Bombyx mori: one gene and its partners. The protein of the gene in region 2 interacts with the protein of the main gene of each other region in a pairwise test. Links are inferred from orthologs where the notes say so. Each region holds a gene or a part of one and is shown on either strand. Other genes may lie near its edges. The genes, in order: E3 ubiquitin-protein ligase TRIM9, neogenin and kalirin.

Evidence for each region.
Region 1: the proteins of neogenin (region 2) and E3 ubiquitin-protein ligase TRIM9 interact in a two-hybrid assay, tested with the Caenorhabditis elegans proteins (2 studies listed by BioGRID). The link is inferred for Bombyx mori from reciprocal best matches to the Caenorhabditis elegans genes unc-40 and madd-2.
Region 3: the proteins of neogenin (region 2) and kalirin interact in a two-hybrid assay, tested with the Caenorhabditis elegans proteins (2 studies listed by BioGRID). The link is inferred for Bombyx mori from reciprocal best matches to the Caenorhabditis elegans genes unc-40 and unc-73.

What each region holds. Positions count from the first base shown.
Region 1 is NC_085118.1:10,863,300-10,867,711, forward strand, and holds the start of E3 ubiquitin-protein ligase TRIM9, read right to left. Parts: upstream 2,822-4,412; 5' UTR 2,542-2,821; coding exon 1,861-2,541; intron 1,614-1,860; coding exon 1,518-1,613; intron 580-1,517; coding exon 346-579; intron 1-345.
Region 2 is NC_085108.1:233,652-237,896, reverse strand, and holds the start of neogenin, read left to right. Parts: upstream 1-1,324; 5' UTR 1,325-1,624; coding exon 1,625-1,709; intron 1,710-4,245. Other genes in the region: mediator of RNA polymerase II transcription subunit 16, read right to left, coding at 353-530, 969-1,030.
Region 3 is NC_085107.1:16,321,727-16,325,382, reverse strand, and holds part of kalirin, read left to right. Parts: intron 1-380; exon of another isoform or gene 381-565; coding exon of another isoform or gene 566-620; intron 621-814; coding exon 815-1,041; intron 1,042-1,977; coding exon 1,978-2,081; intron 2,082-2,475; coding exon 2,476-2,627; intron 2,628-3,141; coding exon 3,142-3,362; intron 3,363-3,656.

The DNA of each region.
Region 1 (4,412 bases), on a different chromosome or scaffold from region 2:
AGTTTTACTCATCAGCTCATCATCATAATACAAATTTGTGTATAATTTTGTCTTTTTCTTGGGGTCTCAACCTATAGATCATGTTTTTACACCAAATTTCTTTTTTTTTTATTGTGTTTTATTATTTCGATACAAAAAATGGAATTATAGATATATTTTCTTTCTTATTCCTAAATTTGACAAATACAGAATTAAAAAAAATCTATTGGTTCAGTTTGACTACTAGCTCTGTTATATTCATTTTTGAGGACTTAAATTAAGTAGTAATCAGGTTTATACCTTTTTTTTATTGATTCAATTGATTGTATTGGTGTACATGATTGGTGGTTACATTTATTGTATTACCTGAAGAAATGCAGCCTGATCTGGTTCTTTTAATGCTTCAATAGAGAAGTGTAGCAGGGCAGTGGCTTCTCTTAGTTTCTGCGCAGCATGCGAAGTAAGAGATCTCATGTTTGCAATTGCCTGAGATTTGGTACTGCGTGCTGCACGAATTAATTCATCTCGTCGTCTTTCTATGGCACAAGTTAGTTCTGCACATGCATTGTCAATTTGCTTCTCCAATTCCTCACAAGATTCCTGAAAGATTTCTTTATTTTAATTAGAGTATGCTTAGTTGTCATGCAGTTTAAATGCAATTCTTTTGCATAAATCCTGTATATTTTGCTGACAAGCTTTCAATTGTTTTGTCAGTTTATGATACAATGACGGTAAAACTTCATAGGAAAAGTGGCTCAATATAATGTACTCAGCAGCCCAGATGAAAAGTATTTTATTTATTTATTAGATAACAGACAGATTATTTATAGAAGCACAAGAGGTATTGTGAATGATGGTTTCTTAATGATCATCATATCAATAACTATAATGACTTTTGAACTCCTGGTAACCTGATGTCCAGTAGTTACAGATCGATGCCTCCAATGAACACTATTCTAACTCAAAATTTTGAAATTTGCATTTTTCACGCAAATCGCTTCACTATGTAAAAAGTAAAGTAAGTAAAAAGTACAATTAATCATTATTGATGGGGTTCGAAGCAAGAGTAAATCAGCTAGTTACGCAAAAAAAACATAAATATATCTGCAATAATAAAGATTTTATCAACTTTTTTCGTTTAAACGATCCTCCTGTAAATCTACGAATTTGGAGTTAGCGTAGTGTTCATTGGAGGCATCGAGATGCCCTTAGATACCACAGTGTTGTGTACCTTAGTATATAAGTTTGGAGAAGGTTTAGGTTGCTGTTTCTCCAATGTCAGTGCCCTTAGTTGTTTAAATTCTAACTATATTGTATTAAAAAAGCTAATAGAATTAAAGAGGCTAGAGTGAATGATCCATATCTATAATTAGAGGGATTCAAAGGTTTATTTGATAAGTAAAGAATTGATTACATTATATGCACTATTCTGTTTAATTAAAGAATGTGTTTATTTAATAGTAGGATTTAAATATGTCTTAATAATTATTATATTTACTAAGATAATTATTAAGAATATATTTAATATTTAGACTTACATTAATTTTTTCACCAGAAGCTTTTACTTTTTGTATGTGGTCTGTCATGGATTTGGCCTGTTCTGATAAATGCTGCAGGGATTGTGATAATTCAGTCTACAAAAAACAAATAGCATACAAGTAACAAAAGATGCCTGGCCATAATTTTTTTTATTGCCCCTGTAGGCATACAAGCATACGGCCCACTTGATGGTGAGTGGTTACCGTCATCTATGGAAATTAGTAACGCCAGGGGCAGAGTTAACCAGCTTAGGTAGCTGGTTAAGTACTTTTTCTTTGCTAATGAACTTAGATTTCACCAAATTAATATAACAGTAATGGGTAGACTATATATAATAAATACCTTATGAGTCCTTGCTGCTGTTGCTAAAGGTTGTGTTTCATGTATTGAATGTCTCTCAGTAAGACACCGTTGACAGATGGGAATTAAACATGTTACACAATATTGTACTGGAGGAAAACCATGATCAGCGCAAGTAGTCCCTAGAGCCCGTAATTCATGTTGTGCTAATGGACCACGAGTAGGATGCCAGGCATCACGACATGCAGCACAATATCTCACTGAACACTGTTCGCAACGGACAACAGCTGCACGACGTTCTCCTTCACACATTTGACATGCTTCTTCTGCAGGCGGTGCACCAGTGACGCCCCCGAAACGTTCAACAATTGTTCGCATAACGCGAAATGGAGGGAGTCCATCAGCTCCGTTGTCATCCAAGTAAACTAGTTTCCTACACGAAGGGCATGTAATACTGAATGCAGCAGACGAATATGCTGGCACAGCCGGGGTTCCCGCGTAACTATTAGGCCTTGATCCACATACCACACCACTGTCAGTTTCACTCGACACTGATGCTTTATCCGCTTCTTGATAATCATTAGACGACCCTGAACCTTCATTATCGTGAATGTGAACCTGCAACTTTTCTGCACAGACCCGACACACAGCGTGTCCACAAGGTAGAAGCACGGGTTCTCTGTAGAATTCTTTACAAACATTACATCTTATTTCTTCTTCCATGATGTATTTTTAAATTCAACTATCGTTTATTAACTATGTAATGTCGTCATCAAAATAATTTCGTACGAGTTTTAGTCATGATAAGAGATAAAAATGTAGCAATTTCAATAACAAACAAAATACAGTTACAACAACACCGATCAAAAATATCAACTCCAAGATACAATAGTCAACAGACGTCAAAAACTCAAAACCGACCAATTGATAACTTTTTTAAACAGCATGGCTCTGATGCGAGACCTTTAAACCAAGCCGAATGAATAAAATGGAAAATGTTGTGATGCGCCGGTCTATTCCTTTATTATTGGGTGAAATCAGGATGACCAAAATTTATACAAATTTTTTTTTTTGTAGGAACTTAAGTAATAATTGTAAGTAAAATCCGTACATTTTACTGATTCAAATTTCATTGTTAATTTCATTTTATTCGTTACATATAAAATTTTCATTCCATTTCATGCCATAATAAATTTTATACAAATAATTCCACCCTATTGCACACCATTTAACTAGAAAATATCATTAAAACAAAATAAAAAATTATAGTGTACAGCGTCATGCTTTCGCCTTTCCTGTGTACGAAAAATGCAACTATTGTTAAGAAATACAATATAAACCTACCCACGCTTGTGTTAATATTACTTAAGCGCCTTAAGTGCCTTATTCACCATCCATCTTGCTGTACGTCCCGCCAAGGCCATGCACGATGCACGATGCATTTAGCGCTTTATTCACGATCCATCACGGCTGTACGTCAGCTCAAGGCCGCAATTAATAATAATTATCGACGTACGTCAAGCCTATTCATGATCGTTTTGCATCGTGCATCGTGCATGGCCTTGGCGGGACGTACAGCAAGATGGATCGTGAATAAGGCACTTTAAAGTATGTTTCCTCAATGACAACAAATTTTCAACTAAAAGCACCGGGTAACTTTACATTTTATCTCTATTGATTGAAATAATTATGAGTTTAGAAACAAATAAGCTGTTTTTGTTATGTAAACAGTACATACGATGCATTATTTTGAGTGGTATTTTTGGTAAACTGATATAACGCCAAGTTTGCTACACCGTGCATAATATATAAGGTGTGTAATATTTTTTTACGATAGAGTGGATGACTAGGTTATCTTTTTATTCCTTAAATGAGTGGACGAGCTCACGGTCCATTGTTATTAAGTGGTTACCGGAGCCCGTATACATTAGCAACTAAAATGCCGCTACCTACCTTGAGTTATTAGTTTTAAGTCTAAACTTACAGTACAACGGCTGCATTATTCTTCAACCCGATACGCATTACTGTTTCACGGCAGAAATAGGCACAGTGGTGGTACTTAGCCATCCGGGCTCATGACGCCCTACCTTTTTTTTTATTCCTACCTAAGCTGGTAGCCTTGAGAGGCTATTCCAGCGTAACCTAAACTAGTAGGTGAGCTCTCGGGGCTCAAACCTGACGACGTTGCTAACATGAACCCTAGCAAGAGCCGTGCTTCGCAGAATCTACCACCGGATCGGAAACGCGACCCACTGAAAGATCCGGCGAGAAACTCAGTGGGCTGTGTCTGAGAGTTAATTTACTCGTCGAGCCCTTCGTCGCAAGCGACGGGTTCGGCGAGAACGGTGACCGGTGCTTGAAGTACCTAGAAGCACCGTTAGTGGATCGGGAGGATCCGAGATGACGTGTTTTGGGCGACGTCGACTGCTCTCCATTCTTTCCGCAGGATCGGGAATGTAGTTACCAGTGGCCACGATGAGAGGGTTCTCGTGTCGTGGCTTTATCGAAGTGGCGCATCGACGCCGACTGTAGATACTTACTGATGGACTCTAAGTCCAGGTCGTCATGGAGGTCGACGTTCCTGACGAACCACG
Region 2 (4,245 bases):
TCCTAAAATATTGATAATATGAACAGATTGACATTTGATAGCATTAATGTAGATGTGTGTAAGGTTTAAAGAGTCTCACTGAATATTTCTCCAACATAATGATGGTAGGCAATGACGATCATCTGACACTGTTTATCATCTCCCGTAATTGTTTAACTCTTGGTGAGTGAGCTGGTCTGTTCACTTATGCGAACAAAACCTGGCCACATAGGGTTCTAGTCTACTATTTGATATGGAAACTCATTAATAGTGTTAATACATAAAGAGCTCATTTGGTTGTAAAATTATACCACTTTTGAATAACTGATCTGTATCACATAGTTTCATTATACTTTTACTATTTCACACTTACAGGATAAGCTGTACTTGTAACTTTGTGACTGTTCCATGGGGTATCTAAGTCACATACATACACATGACCTCCCCATGTTGCTCCGTCCACATCACTAAGCTCTGTCGGTGATGAGAATGCTATGATATTTGCACATGATATTGTACATATTGGTCGGACTACTTCAGAGTCTTTTACACTAGAAATAGACAACATTATTAAGCATTGAGTTTATGTAACACCAAGAAACAGAAATAATGTTTTACAAACAGAACACAGAACGCATGGGACTATTTTAAAATACTTGAATTTTATGTAGATGTGATAAGTTCTAAAGTCAGCTCTTTTTATAATATACATCCATGAGCTGAGCAGTCTCCTATTACTTTTCTCCTTAATTTGTTATTTTTATCCTTTTAGTGTTTTCTTATGATGGAAGGCATCATGAACAACGGTAACTTAAAAAATAAGTTGATGTTACTGCCGTTAAAGATATCTTAATTTGTAAACTCTTGTTGCGAGGAGATGGTCACGACCCTCAGTATTGAGGAAACCGAAGCAAGAAGAAGAAGAATTTGTAAACTTTAGTAAATTTGGATAGAAATATAAACTTTTGATATAAATTTAAACTATTTACTTTTCGAAGTGCGGAGGTTCACATTTAAGTGGCTTGCGTCTCATAGAGTATATTAGCTCCATTACAAACTACCGCGGACTGCGGTTAGCGATTTGTGAACGAAATGTTTAATGTTTATTAAAATACGCATGTAAAGCAGGTTGGAAATTTGAAGTTAATAAGATTGCAAAAACTTTATTTGTTGATACCTATCACGTCAGTTTTTAAAATGTGTCAAAATGACAATAACGTTTTATTATTGCTTGGATCTGAATTTATATATTTATTTGTGGAAGTACCAATTGTATGTAACGAATGATAAAAGGATTATACGTATTTTTGGTTGGCACGGATTATATTTATTTTTTAAATGTTTTGTCTCCTAGCGATTTCGAATTTCATATTGTATGTCAGAATTTCCATTGCCAATTCCATTTCTCGTTTGACAGAAATCAACGAAGTGTACTAACTTCAGGGCGCTCCGTTTCGTCCCGGGCAATGCCCTTTCAATATCGAATTGTTTCCGAACGTAAGTGGACATGAAAATGGCGGATCGCGTAGTATCGCTCCGAATTCGTTATCTGTGAACTTTAACATAAATATTTTTGATTTTATGTGAAAATGTGATAGTTATGAATTAAAACCTCTAGTGCAGTGGTCTTCTATTGGTTTGAACCATGTTTCGGACAGGGATCGTAGCTTACGGCGTGAGAAACTGGATATTCTTGTGGCTGTCGCTACATTTGTTTACATACGTTCAAGGTAGGCTCCTTTCATGTAAAATACGGCATTTATTATCGATCCATTGTCTTCAAGTAACTGTGAGCTTGCCTGCACATGCCAAGTTAAAATATTCGAGAACTTTGGCATAAGTCATTTAAAATAAGGAAATTATTTACATTTGGATTTAGTTTCTGAAGCGTTTTATTTACTATCTTGCAAATCTACCTAATTTAAGTTTAGTAAGTATTTATGTCTCTCTGACGCTTTTAGAGCGGTTGTTAATAAAATTTATGAGGATGTGTACGGCTTGGGCGCGGTATATATTTTATTACTTTTGGACTAAAGTTATGAACTTTTAATAGAAAATATGTCTTCTTCAATAATACTTTCTGTTTTACGGTCAAAAGTGAAGTTTTGTTATTTTTAATTATTCTGTTTTTTTCTCTGGATAATTTTATTCGATCCTTTGGATTTTTCTGATTTAACTTTATAATTTTGTACTAGTATTACTACATACATAATTATACTTATCCAACGTCTCGTATATTTTATTAAATTGTAACTTTTACCTGCCTATTTGCTGGTAGTATAAGGGGCTATTCCAACAACACACGGACGGGATACCTATTGTAACACACACTCGACAATTAATGGCTGAAAAAACAAAAAGTATTAACTTTCAATATGTGATCGCGATATATGGGATCTTATGAGATAAAATTATAAATATGTACATATTTTATAAATTAATGCAACTAAAATTGCAATGACTTGAAGTCGTCGTGGCCCAAAGGATAAGACGTCCGTCCGGTGCATTCGTGTCGAGAGATGCACCGGTGTTCGAATCCCGCAGGCGGGTACCAATTTTTCTAATGAAATACGTACTCCACAATTGTTCACGATTGACTACCACGGTGAAGAAATAACATCGTGTAATAAAAATCAAAAACTCACGGGAATAAAGTGTGTCCATATTCCGTGCTCTAAACCGCTGCACAAAGAAATTTTCAATAATAACACTTCGTAAACAGGATTTAGTATCGGGTCGTGCTCGCGTGAATACCGACCGGGCTTTTGGTGATTTTATTGTAGTCGTCAGGGCTCCGCTGTGGGTCGGCCGCCAACTGAGAGAGTTGGCCATTTCTTGGCTAAATGGAGTTGTCTTATTAATCTATACTACTGAACCATGCATTCGATTGACTTGAAGCTTGGTATCCATGTAGAAAATATATGTACTTAATGGATAGGCTAATATTTATATGAGTGTTGGACTCCCCAATAATAATGACCATAAATAATATTACGGTTTTAAATAACAATAAAACCGATATTATGTGCAGAGAAGGAAAACATACAGCACTGTATTATGAAGAAGCCGTGTGTACTTAGCTTAAATTCCTTGTGTATTATGTATGTGTAAAAGGCGCACGAATTCGGCCCTACAGTGCCTAACAGTTGTATTGTATTGAATTAAAGAAATTGCATAAAATATACCTTCTAAATCGAGGGCTGGGTAGCCCTGACCGTGGCAACGCAATGCTCACAGAAGGAACAGTATTGGGCCGCCACGGTAGTTAATTCTATAGCCGTCTTATTGCCCTAGGAAAGTCTGAAGATTCATCGCTAATCATCTGTCCCATTCGGAGCGCACTCTCCTGAGATAAGAAACTCTGAGGGACTTCCGACTCTATTGGTTGTGATCCTTACGTTTTTATGAATAACTAGCTTTTGCCCGCGACTCCCTCCGCGTGGAATAGTTACTTCGACATAACGCTAAATTTTACCTGCGACTTCATTTACGTAGGAAGTGAAAATATTTTTGAATAATAGAATGTTTAGGAGCTATTTAAGGTGCCAAGTGATGTTATATAGCCTTTCTCAATAAATGGGCTATCTAACACTGAAATAATTTTTCAAATCGGACCGGTAGTTCCTGAGATTAGCGCGTTCAAACAAACAAACTCTTCAGCTTTATAATATTGTTAAAATAAGTATAGATTATCGATTCCTTACTGCGGCTAAACTATAGACTCTCGCAACAGCAGAAGTGGGAATCCCGCTCTGGTCGGCAGCATTCAACCTTACCGTATGTTAGATGCAGTGCAAGTGTTGTGCCCGTAGTCAATACTGAAATACTCTGGTATCTACAGACAATACAATAATTTTGTTAGTTCGCTCTGATATCCTGACCAGGATCAACCAGGGTCAAAAAACTATTTAACCGTTTTGTTTTTTGTTTTTAAACCACATGTATTATTTAACTTAATCATTGCACAAGTGCCATTCCTGTGCGAGATGATTATTTGACAATTGAAATCGCGAAAACTGAAGAGATTACATTATACAAATTTTTTGCAAACGATGTGGACGAGAGCACGGCTCACATGGTGTTAAGTGGACACCGAAGCCTATAAACAGCAGCAACATAAATGCGGCCTTTCACCTTGAGGGTTGAGTTCTGATTTTTTTATTTTTTTTATAGCTTTGATGGTTGGACGAGCTCACAGCCCACCTGGTGTTAAGTGGTTACCGGAGCGCATAGACATCTATAACGTAAATGCGCCACCCACCTTGA
Region 3 (3,656 bases), on a different chromosome or scaffold from region 2:
TAAATGCCACAAACAAAACCTATAATCGGACTTTGTAATGCCATCACGAGCAACGGTAATCACTTATAATTACGCGGGATGTGGGCTCAGTTTCTCCGAAAGCAAAAACAAAAATAAAATGGCACCATCATAATTACGATTTACACGAGCTACAACACTTTTTGATGAGACGACTGAATTGTACAATAACGTTAAAAATGGACGTAAGAAAATTTCTTATCATCTTAACTTAATGTTTCGATAACTTAATGTTTCTTTAATGTTAAACTACCTTCACTAACTATTACTTTAATAAAAGTGCATAAAATTTCGTTATTAATTTATTCATTTGTCTAAATAAAATTTAAACTGAAGGCAGCAGAGTAACTTGTTGCATTAGTTTAATGTAATGAATTGTTTTAGAAAATGGTTAAACAGCGGAAAAAGATATTTATTTGTTGTCCCACGGTTGAATGGTTTGCCGTCGGCGGTCGATTGAATAACTGTTGAGTTTCAGTGTTACTTCACAAACAGCGGTGTTATAACAAGCGAAGGAGTGCTATTATAGTTTGTTTTGAATTTTACAATGTGTTTTGATTGTCTTTGGTATTCAAATAAAAATGGTATTGGATTAAAAAATGGTATGTCGAAAATTCCATTTTGTTTATCTTGAAAGTTACATGTTTTCATCGGTTTTTTAATTGATAATTGAAGTCTTGATCTGTACTTCTTAAATAATATGTATATGGTAAATATGATATTGTTATGATGCCAAACATAGTTGTAATCTTAAAATGTGTTCAAAACATATTGAAAATATATACTTTGTAAACAGGTGAGAGGGTGTTACAACGATTAGAAGTGGCGGAGGCCGCGTGTTCCGAAGCTAGCGGTAGTGGCGCCGAAGGTTCTGCTTTCCACTGCGGATCGCCGGGCGCCGTGCGAGCTCAACTTTCGGCTGTGCGGTCCGCGCATGCGCATGCCCATAAACTTTGGCAACACAAAAAAATGCAGCTAGATCAGTGTTTTCAGCTCAGATTATTTGAACAAGACTGCGAGAAGGTAATTTTCTTTTATCAGCTATAAAGTTAAATTGTAGGTCTAATTGTAACGTATTTACCCTTGAATATTTCATACCTGAATTAACGCACATCGTCTTCTCGCAATAAAACTGTATAATCTCAAAACTTACTAATTTTACAAGAAAGTGTTTTTAAAGGCTTAATATGAGTCGTCTATTATCAAAGGTGGAAATCTATGTATTTGGACAAAAAATAATTATTGATATGTCAATTCAGATTGATTTGAATATAATCGTCTCCTTCAAAGAATACGGTTCAAAACCTGCATTAAATAAAGGTTAATAGTTAACCTGTTATTTATCTAAGATGTCGTTCAGAAGAGTTTTGTGACTGCCAATGGAATACAAAGTCAATAATTCGTTTTTCTGATTTTCCAATGATTGTCCAAAAGTCACATTGCCGGCTTTGATAATAGTCGACTCATATGTAATATTTTTAATATTAATCATATTTGCAATATTAATTTTTTATTTTTTTCAGTTACATTATCTGTTTTTTAAATAAGATAAAATTATGTATTAATTTTGTTAACAGTAGTCAAAACATAGGTAAACTAAAACTAAACTACGCTCTTTTGACAGTATTTATCAGAAAAATACTGGTGATACCAAATGTTTACGCATATTAACTCAATACAAAAATTTTCTTTGGAGATTGTACACTTTTAATGCGAAAAGGCGACATGATTATGAATAAAAATAAAGATTCATTGCACGCACTGTATAAGTGCAACTTTCAGAAGAATTGTATCATTCTCTCGTAGTCTGAAATCCTATAGTGTTTCACTCTTTCTGTGATAATTCCTCGTTTTATCGACTTTAAAATCGCAACGGTCTTAAAGATTTTTCACCATAATTGGTATTCACTTTTAAACACTGTAAGAAATGAGTACTAGTATAATGTTTCAAATGCGCAGATGTTGGAATGGATCGTGAACCACCGTACGGCCTTCTTAGCCACGTACGTTGAGATCGGACGGTCATGTGCGGCCGCAAAACGTTTACAGGAAGAACACGCTAGGTAAGTCTAGACATTAGATGCACAAGGACGTATCGAATTTTGCAAAAATCAATTGAATACCTCTTCCTAATCCTTTGTAGTTTTTTTGCTCATTACGTAAGATCTAGACTCTATTTTTAGAATCAGTATGGATTTAGTTTATCGCCAAAATGTTTATAATGCATTTGGAACAATTGCGATTTGAAATGTTCAATATGAAAAGTCTTAATGACGATAAATATGTTATCGATCTTGCAAAAAGACCGTTACCTTGAATTAAAATGTATCAATCAGCATTTTAAAGTAATGTTTAATTAAAAGTAAAACTCACAATTCAATTTGAAAATTTCGTGTTAGGCTTAAAATGAATATGCGACTGAGGTTTTGTGATGTTTTAATTGTGGATACGTGTTAGATTTGCAGCGGCGTGTACTAGCGGCGGAAGGCCGAGTGTCGCACGTGTGACGACAGCCGCGCGACGTCTCGCTGACAAGAGACATTACGCTGAAAGTCAGATATCAGCATTAGCACAAAGACTCGAAAGAGCTTACAAACAGTTGGCAGCCGGTAAGATAATTTTAATTGACAGTTTTTTATAACCATTTTCTATTTTATTCGAAGCAGAAAAATACCTTTATTTTAACACCTATCTAGATGTTAACCTCATGTATAAAAGCGTTTAAGGGTATTCATGTTATTGTCTACGGGCTTTAATGTGTTTTTTTTATTAATTAGGTGGGTGGACGAACTCACAGCCCACCTGGTGTTAAGTGCTTACTGGTGCCCATAGACATCTACAACGTAAATGCGCCACCCACCTTGAGATATAAGTTCTAAGGTCTCAAGTATAGTTACAACGGCTGCCCCACCCGTCAAACAGAAACGCATTACTGCTTCACGACAGGAATGGGCTGAATGGTTGGACCTACCTACCACCAGTAAAAATTTGAACAGTAGTGAACTTTGGTCTTATGTTGATTGACAGATAAATTTATAACATGAATATATTATATAATCTATATTACTTACCGTCTCATATTGTATCAGTATAAATGAGATTTAATAAAATAATATTCTCAAGGTCTTGAAGAACGTTCTGCAGTGCTGTCACTGTCGGTGGTATTTCATCATAAAGCTGAGGCGTACGCTTCAGCGGTGGGAGGGTGGGGAGCGCAGTGTGCCGTCGCTCTACAACTAGCAACGGGTCAAGGAGGAGCGCCTTGTAACGATCCGAGGGCATTAGAACAACACGCCCAGAGACATCGCCAACTTTACGAACACATGTGTCAGGCCTACACTGAGGTGAGGAGCGGTATTTGTGTAACGACAGTGAAGGCAGAAGTTTTTTTTTTATTGCTTAGATGGGTGGACGAGCTCACAGCCCACCTGATGTTAAGTGTTTACTGGAGCCCATAGACATGTACAACGTAAATGTGCCACCCACCATGCGACATAAGCTCTAAGGTCTCACCAGGTGACCAGACTTTACCAAAGATAACACCCTAATTACATTGTAATGTACGTTAAATACAATATATTTTTCAAACTATTTGTTATCGTCTAATGAAAGCCTGCGATCATAATGCGATTTGAATA